2 linked regions of the Neodiprion lecontei genome follow. The protein of the gene in region 1 purifies or fractionates together with the protein of each later gene. This does not show direct contact. Links are inferred from orthologs where the notes say so. Each region holds a gene or a part of one and is shown in the gene's direction. Other genes may lie near its edges.

Evidence for each region.
Region 2: the proteins of F-box/SPRY domain-containing protein 1 (region 1) and E3 ubiquitin-protein ligase MYCBP2 purify together in Caenorhabditis elegans (affinity purification with western blotting; 3 studies listed by BioGRID). This does not show direct contact. The link is inferred for Neodiprion lecontei from reciprocal best matches to the Caenorhabditis elegans genes fsn-1 and rpm-1.

Annotation. Positions count from the first base shown.
Region 1 is NC_060261.1:34,103,737-34,111,271, reverse strand, and holds F-box/SPRY domain-containing protein 1, read left to right. Parts: upstream 1-3,364; 5' UTR 3,365-3,400; coding exon 3,401-3,705; intron 3,706-3,852; coding exon 3,853-4,126; intron 4,127-4,458; coding exon 4,459-4,549; intron 4,550-4,632; coding exon 4,633-4,727; 3' UTR 4,728-6,949; downstream 6,950-7,535. Other genes in the region: transcription factor Dp-1, read right to left, coding at 1-139, 592-689, 1,026-1,092, 1,677-1,795, 2,777-2,825. UniProt on the Caenorhabditis elegans protein: Component of a SCF (SKP1-CUL1-F-box protein) E3 ubiquitin ligase complex which is required for the restriction and/or maturation of synapses in GABAergic neuromuscular junction (NMJ) presynaptic neurons.
Region 2 is NC_060261.1:4,256,193-4,263,727, forward strand, and holds the start of E3 ubiquitin-protein ligase MYCBP2, read left to right. Parts: upstream 1-2,825; 5' UTR 2,826-3,295; coding exon 3,296-3,390; intron 3,391-3,510; coding exon 3,511-3,577; intron 3,578-3,770; coding exon 3,771-4,013; intron 4,014-4,384; coding exon 4,385-4,538; intron 4,539-4,618; coding exon 4,619-4,821; intron 4,822-4,938; coding exon 4,939-5,256; intron 5,257-5,340; coding exon 5,341-5,508; coding exon of another isoform or gene 5,509-5,526; intron 5,527-5,614; coding exon 5,615-5,833; intron 5,834-5,949; coding exon 5,950-6,151; intron 6,152-6,270; coding exon 6,271-6,660; intron 6,661-6,868; coding exon 6,869-7,034; intron 7,035-7,172; coding exon 7,173-7,333; intron 7,334-7,441; coding exon 7,442-7,535. Other genes in the region: mediator of RNA polymerase II transcription subunit 23, read right to left, coding at 1-67, 136-348, 501-788, 899-1,081, 1,190-1,322, 1,395-1,639, 1,821-1,865.

The DNA of each region.
Region 1 (7,535 bases):
CGACATCCTGTCGTTTCCTCGAACCACTGTGATCCAAAATGGGGCTGATGAAAGTCTTTCCAGATTGATCTTTGACAATCTGCTGTTGATTGCTGGCCTGTTGTTGAGGCTGGGATACCAACGCTTGTTTAAAATCATTCTGTTGAATGGAAAGATTTGAATAAAAAAATTAAATCATAACACAAAATCCAATCAAGCTTATCAGAGGCCATTCAAAAAATACATCAACTTTGTTTAATGGATTCATTTACTTTAATCCCCCTGAATTGATATTTAACAAATCCACTTCTGATAGTTTTTAGATACTGAAAATACAAACTCTCATTTCAATAGAAACTTTTTAACAAAATGATAAAAATTAATATAATATATAATATTACCACACTAGTAGAGCTAACGTTAATAAAATCAACCTGGGCTGCAGATGATTAAAAATCTACCTACAGTAACTGAACATTATGTTCATCTGCACCCCCACCAGTGTGCTTTATGCTACTACCACATAATCCAGGATCCCCCAGGAAAAGCTAATGTCTTTTTTGAATAGCTCCTGATTCATATTTTCCCAATGCTCATGATGTTGTAACCTACCATTCGAGCAGTTGTAAGTTGTATTGTTTTTGTCACTACAGATTCCCCAGCTTTTACAGATGACATTTTTGCACTTTGTACAGGGATGGTAACTAAGCCTAATAGAAAAATATTTTGTTACATGAGAAATGTGAACTTTCTGATAACTGAAAAGACAGATATATAGATGGGTCCTATAGAAACAAACATATTTTGACAGTCCAGATAGAAAGGCCGTATTTCACTGGGTAACCTAAAACGGATCTATCTTAAAAGATGCTAAAAGTTGTGTATAGAGCTCTGTATGGACATGCTGTAACACTTTTTAAGTTACATCCATTCTAGATTGCGCGGCAAAATATAAGTGTTCTATCCGACCCATCGAAATACTTCTGTTTTCATAGGATCCGTCAATATGTACTGCAAGAAACTAGGTAAGAATCTGTAATACTCACGCTGACCAGGTGTTGAAGAACCTTGCAAACTGATGGTTCTCAGTACTTGTGTCCCACTGGACAAGACCTGAGTGTGCAAACAGTAATGGTCATAATATCATCACAATGAACCCAGGGTGCCCACTCACTAAGTGATTCAATATCCCCCGAATTGCTACACATTTAACTGACCACTGGGCACCCTGTAAATACAAAGTTGAAGCTAGAAGCTGGAAGCTTACACTAGCAGGCGGGGATAATTCTGCGTATCATCTATTGAATCCCTTGATTAAAAAATGTACAAGATAGCACACGTCAGAAATACTATATGTTGTGAGACAGTTTGAATTTTTGTTTTGAGAACTCCTGTTTGTGGCCATTGGGTTAAATTGTGATATGAATCAGCTCATCCGAATAGGTCTATAAATATGAGCTTCAGTGTCATCTTAGAAAGCTTTATGAACCATACTCAGTAGTCATACAAATGGGAACCGTAAAAAATATTCAAGATGGGAGTGCAGAATAATATGGATTGTACTCATTGTATAACATAATTAAAATATGTTTGCAAACCTGTTGAATATTGGTAGAGCAATTTTTCAATATATGGTAATTATTAGAAAAATGATACAAATGTTGCGAGTCTGATTATATATTTTAAATGATATTTACTTGGGTATCTTGGCCAGGTGTCTTGAATACCTTCAAACTCCCGGAATTTGTGGTGCTAACAAGCCCAGTTAGTGCTTTATTCGGCGTGCTCGGAACCACTTTAATAACTTGTGGTTGGCCTGTAAGAAAGTTTATTTTTTTTAAAATATCACAGATTAACAATTTTATATGATCCAAAACTTCAGTTAATCAACTAATGTATGTACATTAGATGGCTCTTCTGAGTAGTATCAAGTGTTTAGCAGTAGGGAATACTGAAATATTTAAGATTTCATATTGAATGGCATTCGTCCTTCAAGAGTCAATGCTGCTGTAGTACACAAATTTTAGAGGCAAATCAACTGATTGATCTTGAAGGCAAATAAGGAATGCCCTTGTTGCTAAGAAGAACAATAATGAATTATTTATATCCTAATTGAGATCTACAAGAATGATATTCAGTGTACGACTGATTATCAATACACGTTATTACGTGAAAACAATACAGCTAGTTTAACTAAAATAGGAATACCAAACAGCAATATCATTTAACATTAATCTTCAATTTCCAATAGCTATTTCTCAATGAAAGTGAACCAATTACAATCACGCGAGCAGTACTAAATATGTTTGTTTATTATTCATGGATTCCACAAGTATATCAATAAAAGAACAGAGAATTTGTCAGTGTCAATGTGTAAATTGTAAGTTTAACGTAAGGAAATCCAGAACTATACAGTGGGATGTTCTAGTTATCGATAAGTAAATGAAAGTGATTGGGATATTCTGTAAATCCTTAGAAAGAAATCTCGATCAAGATTATTAATGTAAGATTCGGTTACAAACAAAGATTGCAAAAATTGCATTCTTTCGTTCGCGGTATTCTGGTAGTAAACGCGAAACACACGTTTTAACGTGATTGAGTTTAGCAAGGAGCCTGCGATCAAATTGACGAATCCAAATAGAAATGGATATGCGAAATATAAGAATCGTGAAATTTGGTTAGAAAACGCGCTCCTCGGTTGATCGCACGAGGTATTGTTTCACACTTCATTCGACAAGGAATATTCAGAGACGGAGCCGTGCGTGCCGATTGTTGGCGCGCCAGTTGGACGACTTACCATTTGCGTCGTGTATCAAGAAATTCATCGTTTTATTTTGCTGGGTCATCACTGATGCTTCTGGATATCGAAGGTATCAAATATGATCCCGTAAGCGGACTGAAATTCGCGTGAAAATAAAAAGATCATAAGTGCAATAGTTAGGTCGGACTCGACGTATCACCAAAATGGCGACTCCGGCATTGCACTATTTGTGAAGTAAATATTGTAAAAACCCGGTTACCAAGTATCAATAATATTGCGAATTATCAAAATAAACTAACCGCGCTATCGTGCGCGACACACAGCTTCTCGTTGAATCGTTATCACGACATTAACAACGCGTCAGTAAAATACAGCTTTTTAGTGCAAGTAGAGCCGAGACGAGCTTGGCGGTAGCACAAAGCTAAACAGCTGATTGGCCAGTGCTGATCACGTGGTTCGCTCCGTTCCTCATCGTTCCCCGTCTACCGCAAACTTCAGTCATTGAGTATCGAATTATGTGTAGCTGGGGAACTCAGCGCTACTACACAAAACGTCAGTGAATCAATGTATCTGCGAATCACAGTGCAGAACGACCTCCCTATTTCGTTTCCTTTCCATCCCACCTGTATTTTGTTCCGTCGTTCACGTAGGACCGGCAAAATGGACGATATAGCGTCAAGGGTTCCCGATCATGTTTTAGAAGTGATATTTTCCTACTTAAAATTGCACGATTTGCGAAATTGTTCCTTGGTGTGTAAGAACTGGTATAGAATTTTGAACGATGAGAATAATGATGTATGGCGGTTACACTGTATTAGAAAACTCGCTGAAGAAGCGCTCAAGTCGGATTTGCTGTCATCGGTTCCCACCTATAAAGCCAAATTACGAGCTTTTTACCATGCTTGGAACCCTGACGATTGTTCCCGCAATATTTACATCAAACCAAACGGGTTCACTTTGCACCGGTAGGTGCAATAGCAGTATATTTTACGTTTTGTCACGTGCTGTGATTGAGTTGACTTCAATGCACACAACATACCCGTTACTTTAAATTTTCACACAAACCAAGCGATTTTCTTCATTCCAATATTCGCTTCATTTTCAACCTCCAGAAATCCAGTCGCTCAAAGTACAGATGCCTCTCGGAGTAAGATAGGATTCCGCCATGGACGTCATGCGTGGGAGGTAATTTGGGAAGGTCCTTTGGGAACCGTAGCTGTGATAGGAATAGCAACGAAAGAAGCATCTCTACTCTGCCAAGGGTATGTAGCTCTACTTGGTTCCGACGAACACTCTTGGGGATGGAACCTTGTCGACAATCATTTGTTACACAATGGGGATGCACAAGGCAATTATCCTCTTCTTAACAACGCTCCAAAGTATCAGGTAAGCTGATAATTTGCTACATATTCTTATCCATCAAATTGCAGGCACCAAATTTCAGGAAGTCAATGCGCGGTGTGACTCAAATGCCAAATGTTCATTTGAATGAAAATTCCAGCAACATGTACTTTGTAAGATTTGTTGAAAAATTTTTCCACCAATTAAATTGAAAATTTATCAACTTCTACTAATTTCTCACAAATCTGTCCTATAGAGTGAAAAACTTATGCAAAATAATTTACTTGGTATGAGCTCGTTTATATTTTTATTGAAATGAAAATTCAGAATTTCTAGCACATGATACATCAATTTATTAAAAGCTTATCTAATTTCAGATTGGTGAGAAAATAAGAGTAATACTGGATTGTGATGACAACACACTGTCCTTTGAAAAAAACTATGAATTCCTGGGCGTAGCGTTTAGAGGTATATTATTGTTTTTGCCAACAATGTTAATTTTGTCATAGTTGGTTCATGTATTTTCTAATGAAGTGGACATTTTTGTACAGGATTACCCGACAAGAGATTATACCCGTCCGTATCGGCTGTTTATGGTAATACAGAAGTTTCAATGGTATATCTTGGACCACCTTTGGATGGCTAACACTTTTTGCAAAATTTTGAAGTAAACTTGCAACACTCTCTCAAGCATGTGCCACGCGAGGATAGTCTGTTAAAATATATCTACGTTTAAGTAGAACTTCCACTAAGGCGAGTCCAAAAAAACGCGTATAAATAATGGATAAGTGTAAAAAATGAGCATCGCAATTCGAAGCATTGGCGACGATTGCGTACATAACTTGTTTATTGAACTGTTTATACCGTAGAGCATTAATTTTCTGAACATCAGTTATCCAAAATATTAATTATCAGAGCAATGATTCGGTTTATCCAAATCGTCAGTTATCATAAAGATTATTTACTTTGAATTTCCGGTTTTTCGCATAATAGGCCGCTACATATATTATTGTGTGACATTGTAAGCACAAACTTGCACGGCGTACCTCTTCTCCACCTACCAGACAGGAGTTTGCACACATTTGGCTTTCCAGTGTCAGTTCCTACTCATCTGCAGAGCTGTGAAAAAAGTGAGCCCCGATATTGAATCTGATGTTTTATGTACATATTCTATTACGTTCAACGAATTAGGGGTTGATTCCCACACTGTTTGGTTATACGAAAACTCGATAATCTAAATGATTGCCACCCCCAATTAGTTCGAATAATAGACGCTCTACTGTAGTTTGAATCTGGTTAGGTTGCATTTCACTCACTTGCCAACCAAGCTAGTATTGGTACATTGACTCGATTACCCTTCTAAATGCTAATGCTGATGGTTAAGCATCGTAGCAATTGCTATTGCGTGGATATTTTGAGCGCTCGATTATGTCCTATACGTAATTGAAAAAATTATATTATTAATTATATTAACTCTACACAGTTAAATATGCTCAAAGTCTTCGTAAGTGAGCTTTTGATTCATGCAGAAATGTCAACATTGAATTTTGAAGAGTATAATTGTGCGAGAATAATGTATAACAATGTACTGAAGTTCATTGCTAGTAACATAACAATACTGATTTCAAGATACCAATCAAGTCAGTGATGTATCTTATAGCTTGATTCTATGAAAGTTTCGGTGAATTTGTTATCTTGAAATACCACAGTGTAAGAATAATTATTTTTTAAGAAATTGTATATTTCCATAGGCTATGACCGACTACTTTCTGACAATTATAAATAGCAACCTTTTTATAAAAGCTAAAGCAGGTAGTGTGTGTGTGTGAGTTAAAAATTAACAAAGTGGGAGAGACAGTCGTAATAAGCAAAACAATGTTCTAATGTACATATTTATTGGTAATTATTACTATTTATTAAGAATTACCCTAGGTAGAATTCGTCGATTATTTTTTCTAAACTTTTGTACAGAATCGTGTACATAGTGATTATTGCATCTGTGAAAAATAAACTTTTTTTCATAAGTGTCCGTATGGTTTTAGTTAAGGTGTATTTTAAATACTGTTTGTTAAGTTTGTGCTCAGTGTTTCAAAATAGTTTATTACTCAAACTAATCACAAGAGTATGCATTAAACCCGATTGGTCTTTCCATTTGAAACTGTGGAATGCAACGAGTAGTGCCTTTAATACCGTCAAATTTTAATGTGGTTTCACAAATACAAAAATACTGACAGATACGATACAGGAAGAGATATCAGTTACATGTAATAATATCTCAAAACATCTAATTCCACAACAAAATATCTCGCAAAATAACCCCAGCAATAATAACCCACAACAATAATATCATGAGACAAAACTTTATAACACAAAATAACCATAGACAAAACATCTCGAGGTGATGGAACACTGTTTTTGTTGTATGCAATTTGTTGGTGTGTGTGGGATTAGTGGGGTTATTCGGTTCCTGTTCTTTTGTCACGGGTTATTTAGCTATGTTATTTGGTCCCTGTTTATTTTGCTCGAGTTATTTTGTCGTTTGATATTCTTGTGACTAGTTATTGTTTTGTAGATAGCTGAGATGGTTATTTTGTTGTTGAGATATATTCACGTCCCACCGAGGTATCACTTTAATGATAATTTAAGATTTATATGATGCCTGGTAAGTTGTTATTTTTCCTAGTCCTTCTAGCACTGCAATCTTGTAATAATTTTTTAACAAAATTTTCAGACAAGTTTTTTTTTTGCCATAATTCTGCGCAAAAGTTTCAATTTTGGCTTTTCACTTTTTACTCATTGAAAGTATGACGGCCCATTGGTAACTGCTACTCATCAGGGTATTTTGTGAAATATATTTGAAAAATGAAATACAAAAAAAAAAATTTTATGCGAATGTATGATCATATTTGTAAATAAATCATTTTATCTTGAAATGAAAAAAATGAATTCAGCTTTTCATGCATATAACACTATCCTACATACCTAATATGCAGTATCACAATTATCAAAAATAGGTAATATGTATATTTGGTGGCAACTACATCAAGAGTTGGGATCGGTAAAAGATATTCCGCAAGTACTTGTTATTTTTTCGTGTGTATTTTTGATAATCTTTGTTACAGCCCTCTATTTGGATTAAATTGAGATCGGAATCCTCCACCATCTACAGTTGTAAAATCGGTGTAGCATTTTTGGAAATATTAAAGGGGATACAATCATGTGTAACTACATCATTTTATACTTTCTGCAATATCTACACGGATGAATATTGTTTCAACTATTCTACAGGCTTAGATTGAAGGAACTGTAGCCAAGCGTGAATTGTAACGAGAAGGAAAACTTGAAGAATCGGTAATAAATATCAGGGCAGAATTGTACCCACTTTGTGATTGATAGTCATATTAAATTTGAAATGAATGTGAAAATGTATTTTACAAATATTCAACTTCTGCAG
Region 2 (7,535 bases), about 30 Mb from region 1:
CAGATATAAACTGCAATAGGACCCACATCAGATGATCACGCCCCTTTCGCAATTCTCGACCAGCTAGCTGAAAAGGTGGTCAAATGAGAGTCACAGTAAGGAGAAATATAACAAGTAACATAGCTTCTGTTTTACCTTGTCATGTATGGCCATCACAATGTTGGGAAAACAAGCAAATTGAAAAAGTACGAAGTATATAAGTTGAGAAGAAAGGTGTAGCCACAGCCAATGATTCGCAACAGTAATATCTGTTCCCTCAGTGGGTGGTGGATCATTTTCGGATCGCTCCATAGCCAGAAGTACCAATTCAACCAGTTGTTCCTCCAATGCTACGCACCTCTGTTTGTGCTAGATTTACATAAATTTTTACCGAAATTAGTTACCAATGCCATTGATCGTGTGACGTATATTACGTTTTTATTCAATCAAAAATATTCTTCGCCTGACTGAATTTGAATATATTACACCTGATAATGAATTGATTAATTCATTCATCGAACCTGTTTCTGGAGGCCTAGCATGGAGCAAACCATATCTCTGCTGTACGGTTGTTCCAAGACATATCTTAAAAGTTCGGTTTGAGGTTTTAGCAAATCTTGATCGTAGGGTAAATTGCCTTTGAGGGAGAATTTAAGGGTCGTAGGATCGAGCCTCCATGGGTTGATGACATGGTCCGCATATCCAGAGTGCTCTACTACGGGTAGCATTTTTGAGTGCCCGATTATAGACACCATTTGCGCAGTGGCTCTGAAACTCTCGACAAACCCAGAGAGCAGTTTTGCTAATTTCTATTTAAGAAATAATACATTATTTTCATTTGGTAAGCAAAATAGAAAAGCACTTGCGATTCTAAATCGTGAACATTGTCAAGCATTAGCTTGAGATTTTTTGAACTCACCCAATGCGGCCAATTCTTATTATCGGGATAGGCCTTCTGTATTTCATTAACAATAAAATAGCCAGGCAATAGACATGCATTTCTGTCAAATATATATTCGATAACATTTTCCAGCGCCTTTAATTGCGGCTGTACAGATGCGTTAAGTCTTGCTGGTATCGTTTGTGCCTTTTCTCTGCAGCCCTGTGAAAGATCATGGAAAAATTTATGAGTATAGTCATTTTTCAGCTATGATTTCAATCGTGTAATATTTATTCCACGATATATGATAGCATAGAAATGACCACCCGCCTTCATTATTTCTCTGACACCTTTGTAATCCACTCCTCCAATGATCCGTCTGATGAGGTTAAAAGACTCGACCCAAAAATCCTCTTGCTGATACTGCAGCTTATCACAGCTGAGGATACATTCGCAAACCAATCTGGAAAGTCGTTAAATGATGATAATGAATTTATTAATTGTTAATTTTCTTGCGTCTCCCGTAGCTTCGTACCTTGCAGGTAATACGTTACTCATGACCAAGTTCTCCAGTAACGACAGAAGAAGTTGTAAGCGACTATGATTCGTCAGCGCAGCAGCCATGTTAAGAAATTGTCTAACGCCATTCTCTTGTTGTTCAGTATTGAGACCTGTCATAGCAGATGTTAATTCTGACTGCAATCCTGCTATTTTTTCAATTTCATTATCCAGATGGTGAACGAGAAAACAGCTGAATGCTTCTTCGATAGGTTCCACTCTCTGCGTGTAATAAAAATGCATAGCAATTAATTGTTTGATGGAAAAACAAGTCGTACCTTCGACAAATAGTGCAAAATGCAGAAGTGCAGTGCTGAGTGAGAATATCGCGAGTAAGGAGATAAAACTTATTGAAAATGTGGGAAAACTATTGAAGTAATGTCAAACCTAAAAATTCACTTACAAGAATGTCATTGACGATGTTCGATATTTGCGCCTCGTTACTCATTTTTAAATAGCGAATATTTACAAGTCGCTGTTCTACGTCAAATCTCTCTGTCAAATCACTTAGATATATGCATGCGTCGGATGCAAAACAAACTTGTTAAAAAAAAAAAATCATCGACCTAACCTCGTACGGTGTAAACAGATTATTCTACGGCTTCATTCAGCAGTTTAATGAGGTGTGGTGCAGTATGGTCGAGGTGGGGATAAAAGTCTGGGGCAAATACGAGTGAAAACTGACTGAAGGAGGCACTGGAAGGAGGGGAGAGCCGGGAAACCACGCGAGTGGCGCTAACTCGGGGAACTCCAGCGGCATTATCGTCCGAGAATTGCAGCGATTGGATCTAATTTACTGCTGTCTATAAAAATTGCTTCGCCTCGCGTAGTTTTATTTCCCGATGTTTCCGCTTTCGACGTGGTTTTTGCGGCTTCGAGTTCGAGCGAGCGAGCCAGTGAGATTTCTTATCTAATTGTAACATGTCTAGGAACGGTTCGAGTGTAGCTGAAAGAAGTTATTAATTAACGATCTCATGCTGTTATCGCAGTGCATTGTTTAGCGAATTTTCATAAAAACAGAGGAAAGATGGCATATTAATTGAAAAATATTGAGTAATGTGCAAAAGTTAACTGTGAAGGTAATTTGGGACAATTATACCATTAACCATCGGTAGAAAAAAGATTATTTCAAGAAATTATTCTGATCAATGTGATATTTGATGAAATTTTGAATTAGATGTTTCAACGCCACCTTTGTTTTCAAGCTGAAATATATGCTTGAGATAAGTAATTTGCATTCTGATTAGCAGCAAACTTAATTGCAGTTGAGAATATAAACGTTGACTGGAAAAATGAGTTTTATTGAGTCTGAAAATCATTTTCAAACCGTTGGTGCATCGAAAGACTTGTTTTGTGACAGGATTTGGTATTTTCATTGTCATTCTACTATGAACAATTTCTTTTGCAGTACATATCCACACTTTGCGATGTAATTCTGGCGTCGAACCATTCAAATGCGGTGTTTCGCGACGGTAAAAATTCGATAGGCAGTGGAATCGATCTGCATTGCAGTCAACTTCAATCGCAATTCGAGATATCGATGTACGGAAATCTCATATCTGTGTTTTCAACTTTCAAGCACGATAAACGTTGCAGCTGTACGGTTAAGCGAATTGGGGGAATGAGAACTGTAATTTAATGATATAATTGATAAATTGATATTAAGTAATCGTTAGTTTTTAATTTTTCGTAATCTGATAACATTAATCAAGTTTGTTCAAATTGTGAAAATGTTTTCTCCTATCTGGATAATTAGAGAAATTTATAAATAAGTGTGATCACATGGGAAAAGTGTCAACGATCAATAACATAACCAAAATGAAGTGACCAAGTGATTTTTGCGGTAGTTTATTTAATCGGATTTATCATTACTAAACCATGGTGTCTGGTGATGTCGACAAATTCTTACCCGAGCCTGACAACTATGCCAAATACTTTCACGAGCTGTTCAGGAATATAGCGGACATTCAAAGGTATAACCTCTCAAACCGTTACGTTTGTTTACCCAACATTTACAGCGGTGACTTCATCTGTCACGAAAAAACTCAATCTAAAACTTGACGATAGTACTCATCGTGTATTTTTATTCGCAGGGGAAAGGGAGATTGGAAAAAATCTAAGAAGTCTAAGACCGCCAAAAAAAAAGACAAGAAAAACAAGGTTATCTTAATAATTTTAACAAATACTTACATTTCCACGTTTAATAGAGCCTCAAATTAAATTGATTATATTTGTTCAAAGCATATGTCGTTTACACAATAACAGTAGCGGAAAATATAATTCCAAAATAGAAACAAAAAACTTTTAAAACAGAATGGAAGAAAATAACTATGTTCAGATACATGAATTCCAGTTGGATGTGAATGGCGACGTAAGCTATAACGGTCCTCCAGAAGTAGAGCTACCCAGCAATGCATCGGCCTTTGCTGTTTTTGCCAGTGTAAGAGCTGCCGTGTTGGAGAAACATGCCAGAGCTACAACCGAGGTATTTAGAGCTTCGAGCTGCAGTTCACCGCCTTTGCCCGAGCTCAGCGATACCATTGACAGTGACAGTGATGAGGAAGTTAGGATTTCAGCCCCACATAATTTACCAAAGGTAAAAATGAACTGTTCGTCCGATGGAAGCTAATCCCCAATTTGCTTTGTTCAAAATCCTTTCATAACTTTAGGAGCTTCTTACGATCAATTTGCAGCTGATACATGATATGATTGATAAAAACCATTTGTGAGTTTGTACAGAAAATTTATTTATCCTGCCTATGGCTATTGCCATGTAAGGTTATTGGTGTCGGTAATAGCCAGAGGCACAGAATGACATAATACTAGTACCAAGGTCCTTGGATAATGAAAGATATCGTACATATCGAATAGACCATTTTAAATCTTTGAGAATAAGGTACAATCATTTAACCGTTAATCGTATCTGATTTCAAAAAATATCCAACGGTATAATGTGTTTTTTCATAGATTGTCGGCATTGGATTACGTAGTGTATTTACATTGATGCGTGAAAGTAGAACCGTCGAGCCTCAATTATGCACAAAAGCATTATGTGCATTACTGGACGTATTGCAAGGCCAACTTCCTGAAGGTCTCGGATCTGAGCCTGATGATGTTGTTGGTAAGTGACAGAGCTGCTGAGGGTACAATGAGAAAACGCATGTCCTCAGATTTTTGTAAAATGTAATTTATTTCTTTCAGATCCACTTTTCGATCTTTTATTGGATCTTGCAACGTCTCATGGACCTGAGTCGGCGACGGCTAACGATGGCAGTCACCTGACCGCAGTTGCTTGTGCATGTTTGCTGAGTTTGGTTGTAGTTAGAGGCGATACTGGTCAAATTCTAGCAGCTACTGCTGCGCTACTCATGTGCCCACGAGCACTGGCTGCTCAAAATATTCAGGTGAAATACATATTCTTATTAAGTGACCCTGGTGTATGTCTGTAGGTTCAGACAATGTGTTTGCCTTTTGAATTTCGTCTATTAAAATTCTTCAATTACAAAATTCTCTCACTACAGATGCCATGCGTGTTGACTGCATTACAAAGAAGTGTCCATAGCGTTTTGCTTGGTAAGCTAGCAAGGCCTGATTGGATAACACATGGAGTTCCTAAAAGTTCTAAGATTAATACATCTACGCTTAAATTACCAAATGAAATGAGTAATGTTGTGCTCAATGGGAGAAGTTTTGTAAGTGATGGAAAGTACCTGTATTTACACACCTGTCGTGGGTTGTTGAAGATTGGCAGTGGACATGGTGGAACAATTTGGGGGCATCTATATGCTCACAAAGCTGACTTTTACCCAACAGAGACCGGATGGCTTGGATTTGCAAACGTTAGTTCAATCATATACATATTATTTACACAATGATTTGGCACTCTGTATTTATTTACATTTATCTATATATTTCTATTCCAGGGACTGTTATATTTTAAGTGCACGCCTAGGAAACAATGCGAATTATTGATATTAGATACGGAAACTCTGATGGTAAGAGGCGTGGCGGTATTAGAAGGACGTGACTGGCCTGCCTCCGTTATGTTCTCTGATGGAGAAAATTTGGGCATGATTACTGCAGCCAAAGATGTGAGTTCACTGGAATATGTAAGCAGAAAATGAGAATACTCGATTTTTGAATATGCTAGGCACTTGTAATTAAATAAAAATTGAATCCCGCCGGCTTTTTCTACAGGAGGGCTTCGTCGTTCGTACAATCAATACATTGAGTAATCCTGTGACAGTCACATCCGAGCTACCACTGAAATTGGCGAGAAAATGTGTCGATGTCATTGGTTCAGCATCGTTCGATGAAGAACAAAATGTACATACACTGAGTATTGGATGCGACGATGAAGTCTCGTTTGTTACAGCAGGCAAAGAATTTGCCCTGCTGAGAACTGTTACTGGAAAGGTAATTTTGAAACACCATAGACTGCAATTGATTCCAATATTCATAATGATTTGAAGAATATTCGCTCGCATGCAGCAAATAACGAAGTTATGCTCATTTCCGCTGTTTTGCAACAGGTATTATACAGTGGGAAAGGAAGCTCTTTAGGGATCAAGGGTAACGGAAGGCCTAACAGGTGGTCAGAGTTAACTCTGGGAAAAGGACCACGAGTAACTCACATTGCTGCAGGCCACGATGGTCAGCATGCCATTATACTGCTGGAAGATGGATCTGTATTATTTGTTGGAACTGCAAGGCGTGGGGAAGATGGCGATAATAGTGGGTTTTATTTTTTGTGTTTCTCCATTCATCTCACTGCAGTTTTTCAAGCAAATCAATTCCATTTTCTGTACATCCAGCTGCGATTCTTTGTCATAGTCTGTCGATAAAATTTTCAGATAAGGCTAGACGGCAGCCAAAACCAGTTAAACCAAAGAAAATGCTCAAAGTTGAGGGACAATTTATAGTAGATGCAGCATGCAATAATGGATCAACAGCATTAGTAACGAAAGACGGCTCTCTGTTGATGTTTGGGAAAGATGCAACGCACTGCGACAATGTTTCCGGTGTTGTTACCGATTTGAGTGACGTTCACGTGGCACATGTTTCACTTGGAAAAGCTCACGCCGTCGTTTTGACCAACAAGGGACAGGTTTACACTTTCGGAATAAACAATAAAGGACAATGTGGAAGAGACTTCACAACTACTCATATTACAAACAAGGAAGTTACTGTTGTGGCAATGGAAACCGGTATCGGGGAAGACGAACTGATTGTTGCTGAAGAGGGTAAGTAAAGGCATTTTTTGGCAAGCTGCTGGAATAGGTAGCAAAATGAACAAAAGTATAAATTACTTGATACACAATATTGCTTTGTACACCTTGGTTGCAATACCAATAGCTTGTCAAAAAATGCCTTAAATTGAATAAATCGTTACTTTTAAACATTGTCAATGCTACAAGGGCATACAATTCACGTTTATCAAATCAATTGTAGATGGTAGAGGTCCAAGCGATGAATGGGAAGAAGCAGCTGGGATGTGCCCAGCAGGGCAGCATCAGTGGAGACGTAGAGTTTGCATGGTGTGCACTGTGTGTCGAGAGTGTACCGGATACAGTATAAGTTGTCTGAGCAGTATTCGTCCAGATCGAAATCCTGGCCAGTAAGTAATTTAACGAAACTGAATGTTACGTGTTGTTTATTTTTTCAGGAAGTTGCCGCAAATTTTTACAATACCCCTGTTGAACCATGTTTACGACATACAAAGTTCGCAAGTTTTGAATGTTCTTTTATCTCGCAGAGAATGCGGTTGTGGAGAAGGTGATAGTGGCTGTGCAGAGTGTGGCTGTTGTCGTATTTGTGCAAGAGAGAGCGTCGATAACGGTGGCGAACTAGCAGTATTGGGACCTTCCGGAGTTGGCGATATAACTGATATGATGAGACTAGACGTGATGTTTGGAGGTAATTCTTACGCTCATTATTAATCCTATATGTAACTGAGATACGTAAGTAATTATACTTACGTCATTTGGCTATAAAAACGTGAAATTAAAATAATTCTCACTTCAGCGCGACATGGGGTTAAGCTGCAAGATCATTTACAAAAAAGATTCGAGGAGAGACGGCAGAGACAGAGAGGTAAACCAGGTCCAAGTGTGACGAA